Schizosaccharomyces pombe: one gene and its partner. The gene in region 1 interacts genetically with each later gene. Each region holds a gene or a part of one and is shown on either strand. Other genes may lie near its edges.

Region 1 (4,328 bases):
GACGTTGCTCAGCATTTATTTTTTCCAGTTCAATAGAACTAGAAACCTGCTTGATGGACTCTTCCAATTGCTGATTATGAACTGAAAGCTCTTGTAATTGCTGCTCGGCAGCCGCAAGTTCCTTACACTTCGTTTCAAGCTGTTCGCGGGAATCCGCAAAGAGTTTTTCAAGGTTTGTAAGATTGGTATCCTTCATTTGCAAAGCTTGATTTGAGACCATTACTTCATGATTCTTTTCACTTAAAGCTTGATCATTCTTTTCTATCTGGGTTTTCAACTCTGCAATCTCTTTCCATTTTGCATCAAGTAGTTCATGGATCTTCACCTGAGTGGCTTCCTTTTCATTTCTTACTTCTTCTATTTCTTTTTGATAAGAAGTAGACTGCTCCTCCAGTTGCTTTTCAACTAGAGTTAGACGCAGCTGTAACGAATTCTTCTGTTCATGTTCTTCTGCAAGTTTTCTTTGCAACTCAATTTGTTCACGCTCAAATTCCAGTTCCTTCCGCTTTAAATCATTTTTTAGGTTTTCTAGTTGAAATTCTAAAGAAGCTAGTTTGGGATTTTTTGTTTCTACAGGGTGTCAGATCCATAAACAAACGTCAAATATAAGTTTCACATACCATTAGCAGAATTAACAGAAGGCTTCTTCAAATTTGGTTTCTTAACGCTTGTTGCTAGAAATCTAGGCAACTGTGAACGCGATTGGAACGGATCCCTAGGAGAATCCGCCATGGATGTAGTCGCTTGATACACTGTCAGCTTGGAGCTCATAGTGAGAAATTGATTTTTGGTATACCTCTTTAATATAATATTGACAATATGGAGGACAAATTGCATCTCAGTAATTTATTGAAATCAGGGAATTAAAGAAAGGTAGGACTGACTGCATATGCTCAAACAACATACTTGTTTAATGATATCTAAATTAATGGAACTTATTACTTTTTCTTTTTTTTTAAATCATAGACCTTGTTATTATTATATTATATATTTAATGTGTTGAATTCCTTAATCAATTTTCGATGCACGTGTGAACATAAAAGCTTTTAAGTCTTCTAGTTTTTTTATATTGATATTATTATTATTTATTTAAATTGCTAGACCAAATCGCGTACCCTAAGGAACTTACGTAGTCTTAACATAAATTATAATAGTTTTTTTTTTTTTTTTTTTTTTTTTTTTTAATAAAACTTCAATTTGAACAATTAACCAATAACTGAAAATAAACCTGATTTTGAGCAGACTTATTATTATTAAATAAAAATTATTACTTCTAGTTCATCAACTAAAGAATAATGGTTTTCGCATTTAATTTTCAAAATTGCTTGGCAATGATATAAGCTCTAAAATGGTTTCAGTTTCTTTTAGGAATTTTATTAGCATACATATTCAAGTTATCATTTTACTTTTTAATAGAAACTTTCGCGTACTTGAGAATTGTCTTTATATTTTCAATTAATTCTCCCATATTTGACAACAAAAAGCGAAACGTAAGAGCTCACAATAGCATCTAAAGTTTCGTAAAGTAGCGAAATCCACGTTGCGCTATTCTGAAGGTTCAGTGACTTATAAATGATTCTGCATTGGCTGTATGTCGATGCAGTTATTAATTCTCTTAATATATCATCTAAAGAATATTTACATCTAAAGCCATATAGTGTATAACCCATTCGTTTTGATACTGAGTCATCCTGCGAATCACTTTCAAAGCTATGCTATTCATCTAGGAAGTCGAGCTCTTATATTGGCAGTGATAAATAAATAAATTTTTTCCAACTGATGAAGGAAATAAATCGGTTTCTTTTGGGACTCTCAGGAAGTCATTCATTCTATTAATTTTGACTTTAGCTCATAATGTTTACGGAATAAGGAGGAATAGTGCAACGATAAAAAAATAGTGAGCTATATGCGAGAACATTCCTTGCCTCGCATATACCGATTCCTTGCATCACGGCCGGTATCGCTATTTTTTTTTTACCCATTAGAAATACCTTTAGATTGGAAAACACTACTGAGCGAATACTCATCCAATGTCGACTAAATTGACGTGGTCGCAATGGTCCAAAAAGCATGAAATTCCCCGTAAAGCACTCCATACTTCTATTGGTAAGTTGTTTTTATGACTTGGATTAACCGGGTCTAGGATTTTTTGCTCTATTACTTCAGGGATGTGGATACCACGCTGCTCAAATCATACCGGTTATAGAAATTGGATTCATACCTGCATTTACTGGAGATGTAATTCGTTTTAACTGGCCAGCTTTCAGCCGCCTTTACAATCGCGTTATTGGTCCTTTGATGCGAGAGTCCGAAAAAAATGCATGGAATGGTGTTATTTTTTATATGATCGGGGTATGGATTGTTTTAAAAGTTTTTCCAGAGGTAAGTAAAAGTCATTGTAATGTCTATCATTACTGTTATTATTCTTTAAGAAAAAGGAAGATATGGTTTTCCTTGTTCCAGGCGATCCGAAGGGTTTTGTTTTTTACTGGACATACTACTCTATAGAACCCATTTTTTCACGGAGAATGATTTTCTATTCTAAGTATTTGTCAGACCAAGCATATTGTTGTTGCATAGAGTTTAAGTTAGTATTTTTGATCATGATTACTCAAATCTACTTTGCCTTGCTTGATCTTTTCCTAACTTCACCTTCCTTCTTCTTTTACTTATATATTATGCCATAGTTACTAACTAAGTTCAGGAGATAGCAGTAATGAGTGTCCTTTTACTGTCATGGTGTGACACTACTGCCTCAACCGTTGGTCGAAAATGGGGCAAGTATACCCCGAAAATTGCCAAAAATAAGAGTTTGGCTGGAAGTTTGGGCGCATTCGTTTGTGGTGTTTTTTGTTGCTATGTGTACTGGGGCTTGTTTCGTACCGGTCCTGACAGCTTGGCCGCTCAAAGCAGAATTCCTTTCCCTTGGCTTTGCTTGATAAATGGATTTATTGGTGCCTTTGCAGAAGCTATGGATGTGTGGGGTCTTGACGATAACCTTGTAATTCCTGTCGTTTCTGCCTGTTTACTATATTTAATCATGTGATAACCATGTTCTTTTATACTGACATTCTTTTGTTTTTTCCATTCGTCCTTTCCCGACCACGTTTGAAAAATTATTGAATATAGTTATGTTTTGTTGATTCGCTCCTCCATTTATCACCATTTCTATTGTTCATCTTTTTTCCGTCTAACCAGTATGCGTACATACTGTTAAAATGTATAGAAATACCTACAAGCTTCATTACCCAGACAATTTTAGGCTTTTTGTATGAAACATGACGAAATCGTGCAATTAGACTGCCTATATAGTTTCTACATAGCTTGTACATATATAATGGTCGTGAAGAACCTTATATTTAGCAGTTTTACACTAGAGATTAGCTAAGTTGAAATTAGTTTTAGGAAATTAGCTTGATAATCATTTTGTCAACTCAAAGTAAATAATAATTATTTCCAATGTAACTGTCTAAAGTTAAAGTAAAGAAAAAGGACAATTGATAGTATCAAAAAAAATCGGATAGTCTTAAGCCAACTAGATCAAAACAAATTAAATAATATGAACAACGTACAGTTAAACCCAAACTTGATTGTGGTCATACAGTATTGAAATACTCTCACCATTGTGTATGCGACGAATTGCCTCCGCAAAGGTAGGAGCGACATCGATTATGTCAAAACATCCACTTGGTGTAATAGTTTGAGGAGCGGTGTTTGTAACAATAAGCTTGTCAATGCAAGAAAGTTTTACACGCTCAATAGCATCTCCTGATAAAACACAGTGAGTGACGAGAGCATAGATTTTGCTAGCTCCATGTTCTTTGACAAACTCTGCTGCTCGAACTAGTGTGTAAGCGGTATCAATAAGATCGTCGATGAGGATGGCGACTTTGTTTTGTACATCACCAACAAGCATCAAAGATGTTCCGTATTCATGTCGGCGATTCTTATGAATTAAAGCAAAGTCCAAACCCAGAGCATCAGCAATAGCAGTAGCACGTTTGGCACCACCAGCGTCGGGAGATACAATTACTGCGTTATGATAATTCGGGATATTAAGAGAAATGTAATGTTTAAGTAATGGTCGGCCAAAAAGATTGTCTACAGGGATGTCAAAAAAGCCCTGAAATTGGGGATCATGAAGATCCATTGTGATTATATGGTCAGCACCAGAGCACATAAGCAAATCAGCTACTAGCGTGCCGGATTGTGCAATCCATGGGTGATAACCAGTTTGCTTTTTGCATGGAACAACCGCATCTTGCAAGTCAGATAAAGGAGCACCGGAAAAGGAAAATTTTTGATCAGGTTGACGACTATATGGGAAT
Region 2 (7,905 bases), on another chromosome or scaffold:
ATTATGCAAGGCATGAACGAATGTCTTTCCCCTTGTTTTGTGGCACGAAAAGGCATGATTGAGGCTGTTGAACGTCGGGCGAAAGTGTTTCCTCATGCTATTTTTCCTCTTTCTCCTTTGTCTCTCTACTGTGCTTTACTCTGCCTTGCTTTGCTTTGCCCTGTTCTACCCTCTGAATTTCGATGTAAGGCGGTACAGTGTAATTCGTTGTTTTAAGAATAGAGTTGGAGAATTAATTATTCGTATTCCAAAACAATTACTAATAACTAATGATGTACAATTTTTACGATATGGTTGTTGCGTTTTGACCAGTAGTAGCGCACACAAGGATCGGCATGAGGATCGTCAGCTAAGAAGATAGTGTGTGTATTTGTGAGGGATCGCCAAAAGATAGCAAAGTGGATGGTGTTTAATGATTTTCGTTAAACTTGGTTAGGGGGTTGTGGAAAGAACGCTATTCCCTTATATGTTTGGTGTTTAGCGATTTGAGAATGAATTTGCAACAATTTGATTAGAAAGAGTTTAATCTTTATCATTGTGTTTATTTAGACAGAATGGGTTAGAAATGAATAGTGGGTTAGGTATGAAGAATTGAATGGTTCGTAGAAAGAATGCCGCATAGGTCCAAAACTTGGCAGATATTCAATTTTGAGCGATATAGAGTGGTAAATAAATGAAAAAAAATCAAATAAAAATGAAAAAAAATAAAAATAAAATTGATACCCATAATTTGAAAATGAATAACCATATAAACTAAATTTAAAATAATGAATACTAAGAGTAGAAACACAATTTCATTATCATAAATCTTTATTACAACACCATAAATCCTTCTTCCTTTTTCACAATTATTAGTAATTCAAAAATTCTTGTTCGATTAACTTTCAGCTTTGCACGTTGATTCCCACCAATTTCCTCTTTCCTCATTCACATATCTTCCAACTTGCATCTCTCCAACTTGTCCCCAAAAGACCTATGTGGGCGCCACTCTCCATATACTAACAAATCTCCTTTTTTAATACCTCCAAAGTACTATGTGGGGGCCTCAAACTGCCCTTTTCATTCCAGTATACGATTCTGTTATTGCTCCTTGTATTTTTACTTTTTGTAAATTTGGTTTAGCCATTGCTATTTTATTTAACGAGAGAAGTGCACTTTGGGATCTGTATTGCCTTGCATTGTTTATTTTCAAACTGCCAGAGGACCATAGTGTTGTTTACCGCCCATCCCAGCATTAAATATATCTTCAATCAATTCATTTTTCCGCACAGCTTAAACTTTCGTAGTAAAGTAAAGATTTACAGCTTTTAAATTTCTCCTTCAACGTTTCGCCTTTTTTATCAATCCCATATTTCAAATCTCACTCTTCATTCTCTACTACTTCCAAACCCAACCCGTACAGTAAACAGTTTTACACCTTTATATACTTCATCTATATAACAAGCACATTGATTTGCTGGTCCAACTAATTTTAGCGTTTTTAATCTTGCACTATAGATTTTTCCGGCAACATCATTCTTTCTATTATCATTTCAAACTTGTGTTTACAACACAAAAAAATTTGGACACGCTGGGGATTGAACCCAGGACGACTCGCATGCAAAGCGAGCATGCTACCACTGCATCACATGCCCAGACTTGAAATACACAATTACTTAGTAATAGATATAGCCCTCTTTTTTAAACTCCTTACTAGCGAGTTTTTAATATTCTCTTCGCAAACAACGCTTCACGTTTCTCTTGTTTCGCTCGTTTCATCAATATATTTGTAATTGATGGCGGATAAGGATGCGCAAGATTTTTTAAAGTTCCTTAAAAGTAATGGTATGAAATTCTAAAGCTTTCATCTATATACTGACAAATTAGCATCCACCGATGAAAAGACGAGATGTCTAGATACCCTTCGCTCTTTCTTTAATAAAAACAACATTCCCGTAAGTTTTTTATTTCAAGGAAGTTTATTCTTTAGTTTTCGAAAATTTCATATCATTTACTAATGCTTTTTTGCCGTAGAATGCAGATCTCGGTTTGTTCGTGGAATGCTTCAGACTTGCTTTAACTACCGTCAACCCTTTACTCCTTAGATCTTCTGTTGCATGCTTTGAAACTTTTTTACGCCGTTTACGTGCCCAATATCCTACATGGTTAAAGTTTCGCGTACCTATGCTAAAAAATCTTGTCATCGATCACATAGCCTCTCGCGATTTACAAAAGCGTGTTCTTAATATCTTAATTGACTTATGGCACTTTAACCCATCTGAAATTGAGAAGAGTCTTATACATCTTTCAACAACAAGTAAAAGTGCCGAAACCAGAATTCAGTGTTTCAAATGGTTCGTCCTTGCACATAATGCTCATCTCAGTTTTGACGTAAAATCTTTGCGTCCCGCTCTTTATATAAACCTAGAAAATGCCAACCCTTCTGTACGAGAGGAGGCGAAAGAAGTTTTGTTACTGATTTACAAAAATCTATCTACTTCAGCTAAAATGCAATTTATAACCGATGTTGAAACTACCTCGGGTCTTCGAAGGGAGATCTTACAAAGCTTAGTGGAAGAGCTGTCTCTCATATCGTCTTCCTCCGAAGTAATAATAGTTCAAAATTCAGCATCTTCGTTTCAGCCCGCACCCTTCATGACAGCCGTAGCTACTCTTTACCCTGGAGTAGAGTTGGAGAATGTAAAGCCATTGTTGGCAAATTTTTCCAAACAACTTGAACAAGATAGTGCTTCTATGCTTCCTGCCTTTGAAGGTCGTGAGACTGAACAAAATTGGTCGGTCAGGCAGGATTCAGTTTTGCGACTTCGTCAATATCTAAGGGGAAATGCATGTATTGATTATCTTCCAGAACTACTTTCAGTTCTTAAAACTCTTTTGCCTGGAATTTTGTTGGCTTTGTTGTCATTGCGTACAACTCTAAGTTCTTCTGCCATACAACTGATAAAAGAGATGGCCATCATATTAAAAAGCAACATTGATCCCTTTTTAGAACTTATTCTACCAAACCTATTAAAAGTTTGCTCAGTTACGAAAAAACTTGCATCTCAAGCCGCTAATGTAACATTTGCTGCCATTCTTGTAAATTGTGGAGTCTTGTCGCGAAATTTATCCTTTATCTCTTTAGCAGCTCATGATACAAATGCTCAACTTCGCGTTTTCTCAAGTAATTGGATTTTTATGTTGATATCCTTATCTCCCGAGTTAAAGAACCTTGCATCTTTGCAAACTAATTTGAAAGCTTTTGAAAAACTGATTTGTCGCGGACTTGCTGACTCCAATTCTCAAGTACGGGAAGTTTATCGAAAATCGTTTTGGAAGCTTTCTGAATATTTTCCTTCCGTTCAAGAAGAGTTGACTAACACTCTTGAACCTTCTGTGTTAAAACAATTACATTTGGCGAACCCTAATCGTCAAGCTGCTTCTTTTAATTTTAGTGGTCCTAAGCGTGCACCAATACGTCCTTTGTCAAATTTGCGCTCGTTCAGTAAGTCTCAAAAGGAAGAAACTTCTTCTAATTCTTCTAATTCATCCGGAACTCGAAGATTAGGTCTTCCTCAAAGAGCAACTCCTGCCTCAAGAGAGAGGGTTCTTCCATACACTCGTTCTCAGGCATTTCATTCTACTAGCTTACCACCCTCTTTACCCTCTGGTCATTCACCATCTATAGCCATACCATCTAAAAGGTCCGTCAGCGCTACTATAAAGGATGAATCCAAAACCTTTGAATTACTAAAGAATATACAAAGAAAATATGAATTGATTTTATCTGGAAGTAGCGTTGACTTACCTTCTGCGGAATTCTTATCGTCCAACTTAACAGATGCGCTTTATAGTGGAAGCTCGATTTGTTACTCACTTATTTTTAGTCACTCTTTATTAGACTTAACATTTCAATATGTTGACATTGCTTCATTACTTTCCCAATTTCTCCTTTGTGTTTATGACCCATCAAATGTTGGACATTCCTTTGCACTTGCTTCATTCCCATATGTCAAAAGTCATTACGATGCACATAAATACTTCCCAATAGTCTTCGATGTTTTGATGAACATCTCAAACATGGCTCCACATGTTAAAGTATTCCCTTTTAATACTAATCAAAAAAGACTTATCATACATGGTTGTCTTTTATGGCTCAAAGAAATCAGTGATACAAAGTTGAATCAATTGGAAAACAAACCTTTTTTTGTAACCGATAAGTTGAGATACTATTCCTCAAAAATATTGGCTATGACTGCTAAGACAAAATTAACTTCCAAAAATTGGATACCACTCAGTGGATTACTTTTTTCTTTAAGAGCTCATGATACTTTCATGTTTGATGGCTTACTTGATAGATTAAACGAGGAATCAAGAACAAAGTTGGTAAGCTCTTGGAGCAAGCAGGATGCTTTCGACTATTCTAAGTCATCGACACATCAAGAACACTTAAGCAAAAATTTACCAACTCTTAATACTAGTTCTTCATCTAATTCTTCACAAACCGATTTGCTAGTACCACATGGCAAAGGTGAGACCAAAGAGACTGAGATGCAATCGCCAATAGAAAGCAAAGAGGGGCTACTGTCTAAAGATACTCATATTGAATCGCCGCAAGGTACTTCTTTAGAAAAGGAAAATGAAGAAGAAGGTAAAAATCCAGTTGAGTCAAATTGTTCCGAAGAATCACTGGATGATCACAATATTGATCAAACTCTCGTAAATAAAAAAGAAACACTTGCTCAAGATTCTGAAAGTTTATTGCAAAAAAATAATGCTTTAAATGAAAAAGGGTTCGAGAATCAATTTGGATTATCTTCCTCTGCTGCAAAAGTCTTGAATAAAGATACGCTGGATCATGTAAGCGGCCCGATTTCTAATTCTGTTTCTTCTTCATTCAAAGACTTTACAAGGACACCGTTCAAAGAGATTAATGGAGAAAGAGAGACAGGTTTTGAGCTCACTAGTTATGTCAACGCATTAAGTAAAAAAGACGATATCAATGTTCAAAAAACTGAGAATGTCGACGAGTCAGTGGGATTGAATGCGATGTTTATGGATAACGTAAATCAAGATTCTTTGAATAGTGTGGACCAAAGTTCAGGGAAAGACAAGTTATTATTAACAAGTTCAACTCCTAATAAACCAACTACTTTTTTTATGCCAGCTAATGAAGAAATACTGGGTTCTCCTGCGAAAGATTACGATATCCATGATCAGTCTTATTCAGTTCATGAATTACATTCAGAAAATATGAGAGAAAATGTGGGTCAGTCTAGCTTAATCTATAACAATCGTGATTATATGAATACACCAATGAATGACTTCAGTCTCAGCTTTTCAGAAATAAAAGGTGGTATTCTAGAGTCTCCAGTGGAGTCACCAATGACAGGAACAATATCGCCTATCGATGCAGATGAATCAGTTCTCCACGATATACCTGCATATGAAAGTTTGAATAAATCGGAAAGTAATAAATACCAGGAACAAGCATATTCAACTCCTCTTCATCACACCTTGAATGTATTACCGAAAAATAAATGGATTTTGTCACGTATGCACAAGATGGAAAATGGGAGTCCGATAAATGTTGACAAAAACTTGGACGATGCAGTAGCAGCATTGGAAGCTGCGGTAAAAGAACTGAATGATGGGTCAGTGAATACCAAAACTTTAAAATTTTGCATTAAGGTTTGCAAAGAAACACCTTCAATGTTGTATCATAGTCATGGGCTTTTGCCTGCTATATTACATTATATCGAATCGAATAATTCAGCTATGCACATTTCTGATTGTTTAATATTATTACATGAATTTTTGGTTCAGGGATATCAAGGTGTGGATATGCACACTTATCACAATATCATTTGCATCCTGATCGAAAAGGCAGAAAAGTGCAAAGATGAACCAGTCATATTGGCAGGAATTGAGGATAACATAACACTTATTGCAGAAATAGCGGACCTACAAGGCTTGTACGAATTTACTCAACAAAGGCTTCAATCCTTGAATACGGAAACCGGAGAGAAATCTGCTCCATTGTTACTGATGCTACTGTCAGCTATACTGATGCGTTTAAAAGATTTGGAGTTTCTTGAGACAAAAGACTTACTCAGACATGTGGTTTTAAAATACATAGATCATACAAATCCTGAGATAAGAAAAGCAACTTTTAACGTGTGTTTGGCGGTGAATACAATAGTCAACAATGTTGATGAAACGTTTTCAATATTGGGAGGATTAAATGAAGGACAAAGGCTTCTTTTCATGCATTATTTAAAGATGAAGTCTGATGAAAAGAATTAGTATACGCTCAAACCTGTTAATGTCTTCAACTTATGCATGCAAGAAGAAGCTTCCGCTACTGCCTCCTCTGCTCCTTTTTTAGCTATATCACGAAGTAACTCCCTATTTTGTCTCCATTCATTGAAAGAAGTAGAAATAGGTTGCAAGCATCTGATAATTGCACTTGATACTTTTTCTTTAAATTCAGCATTAGAGCAGGAAGCATTGGCTTGAGCAATGTCTGAAGGGGTAGAATCACTAATAGCGGCGAAAATGTTAATCAAATTGTTAATGCCGGGTCTATTAGAATCACCATAAGTAATTCCCTTTATATTGTCCGTCTGAGCGCGAGATATCTTTTTTCGGATTTCTCCAGTTGAATCACTGAGGAGTATATAGTTTTTGGAATTGATATCGGATTTTGACATTTTTTTTTCTGGCTGGCACAAAGCCATTATAGAACTGGAAGAATCTATATGGTGTTTTGTTAGTTGGAGAGGAATAATTATATTTATATATATAAAATAACCTAAAGTAAACATACTCAAAATTATATCCGGAACTGTCAATATTTTTTCTTTATATGATGAATTGAAAGAACGGGCAATGGACCTTGTTAGCTCAACATGCTGAGACTGATCCTTGCCTACCGGAATATGAGTAGCACTAGAAAATTAGATAATTTATTTCACAAACGAATGGTTCCTCTCTCTCTCTTACCCATATAATAAAATGTCAGCTGCTTGTAAAACAGGATAGGAAAATAAGCCGAGATTAAATCGGGTGGAGCTCGTAGCGCTTGCATCCAAAAAGGAAAGATCGTCATGATCATGAAGATGAAGTTTGGACTTATAATTCGTTAGTTGAGTCGTAAAAAATGGGCACCCAATTATTCGTTGAGTAGAATATTAAAATAGATGCCCGACTTACTTTCCATTGGGTCATTCGGTTTAATTGACCCATAGAAGTTGAACAGGCAAGTAGCCAAGCCAATTCGGAATGTTGTGCAACCTTGAATAATTAGCTTTTTCTTTATAATTTAAAATATTGGAAACAATTTTGCATAAATCGAAGCTTTAGCCAAAAAAAAATCGGCTTACGAAGAATATAACTACCTCAACCGACTTGACGCGTGCAAGTTCATGCAATCTGGTTAAATTAATAAAATACTTACATCGGACTGGAAAAATAATGTTGATTTTTGAGGATTTATACCGATGGCCAACAAGGCAGCAAGCATATCGAGACGGGCTTGTCTAAATTTAAGAGGATCTTGCGGAACGGTTAAAGCATGCAAATCGGCAACAAAGAAGAAGCATTTGGAGAATGGGGTACGAGCGGCTTCCTCTTGTAGTTGAACCCATTGCTTTAGAGATCCCAAATAATTGCCAATGTGAGGAATTCCAGTAGGCTGAATACCTGAAACAACTCTGCTATGTGGAAGGAGAGAAGTGATTTTTGGAAGTTTAGCCATTCTTTATTACTTTTTATTTAATTGGTTTATAAAGTGAACAAATAAATAAAGATAAAGAATAAATGTAATGAAAATAAAAAAAAACAGCTGTGTTATAATCCAACTGATTACAGCTCGCAGACAATTTTTTCAAAAAGGAACAAGGCCGTAGAAACGAATGCTACACT

The links. Genes that interact genetically often act in the same process or in processes that back each other up.
Region 2: mutations in ptp4 (region 1) and peg1 together harm fitness more than expected from each alone (negative genetic interaction), as found in Schizosaccharomyces pombe (one large-scale study listed by BioGRID).

The regions. Positions count from the first base shown.
Region 1 is NC_003423.3:1,276,328-1,280,655, forward strand, and holds ptp4 (phosphatidate cytidylyltransferase Ptp4), read left to right. Parts: upstream 1-2,017; 5' UTR 2,018-2,030; coding exon 2,031-2,106; intron 2,107-2,143; coding exon 2,144-2,382; intron 2,383-2,704; coding exon 2,705-3,046; 3' UTR 3,047-3,472; downstream 3,473-4,328. Other genes in the region: mitotic spindle checkpoint protein Mad1, read right to left, coding at 1-570, 621-732; ribose-phosphate pyrophosphokinase Prs5, read right to left, coding at 3,575-4,328. UniProt on the Schizosaccharomyces pombe protein: CTP-dependent diacylglycerol kinase that catalyzes the phosphorylation of diacylglycerol (DAG) to phosphatidate (PA). Controls phosphatidate levels at the nuclear envelope. Counteracts the activity of PA phosphatase ned1.
Region 2 is NC_003424.3:3,151,159-3,159,063, reverse strand, and holds peg1 (CLASP family microtubule-associated protein), read left to right. Parts: upstream 1-1,731; 5' UTR 1,732-1,775; coding exon 1,776-1,824; intron 1,825-1,866; coding exon 1,867-1,934; intron 1,935-2,013; coding exon 2,014-6,285; coding exon of another isoform or gene 6,286-6,736; 3' UTR 6,737-6,808; coding exon of another isoform or gene 6,809-6,930; 3' UTR 6,931-6,984; downstream 6,985-7,905. Other genes in the region: tryptophan--tRNA (Trp) ligase Msw1, read right to left, coding at 6,282-6,736, 6,809-6,930, 6,985-7,112, 7,195-7,275, 7,439-7,738. UniProt on the Schizosaccharomyces pombe protein: Microtubule binding protein that regulates the stability of dynamic microtubules. Required for mitotic spindle formation.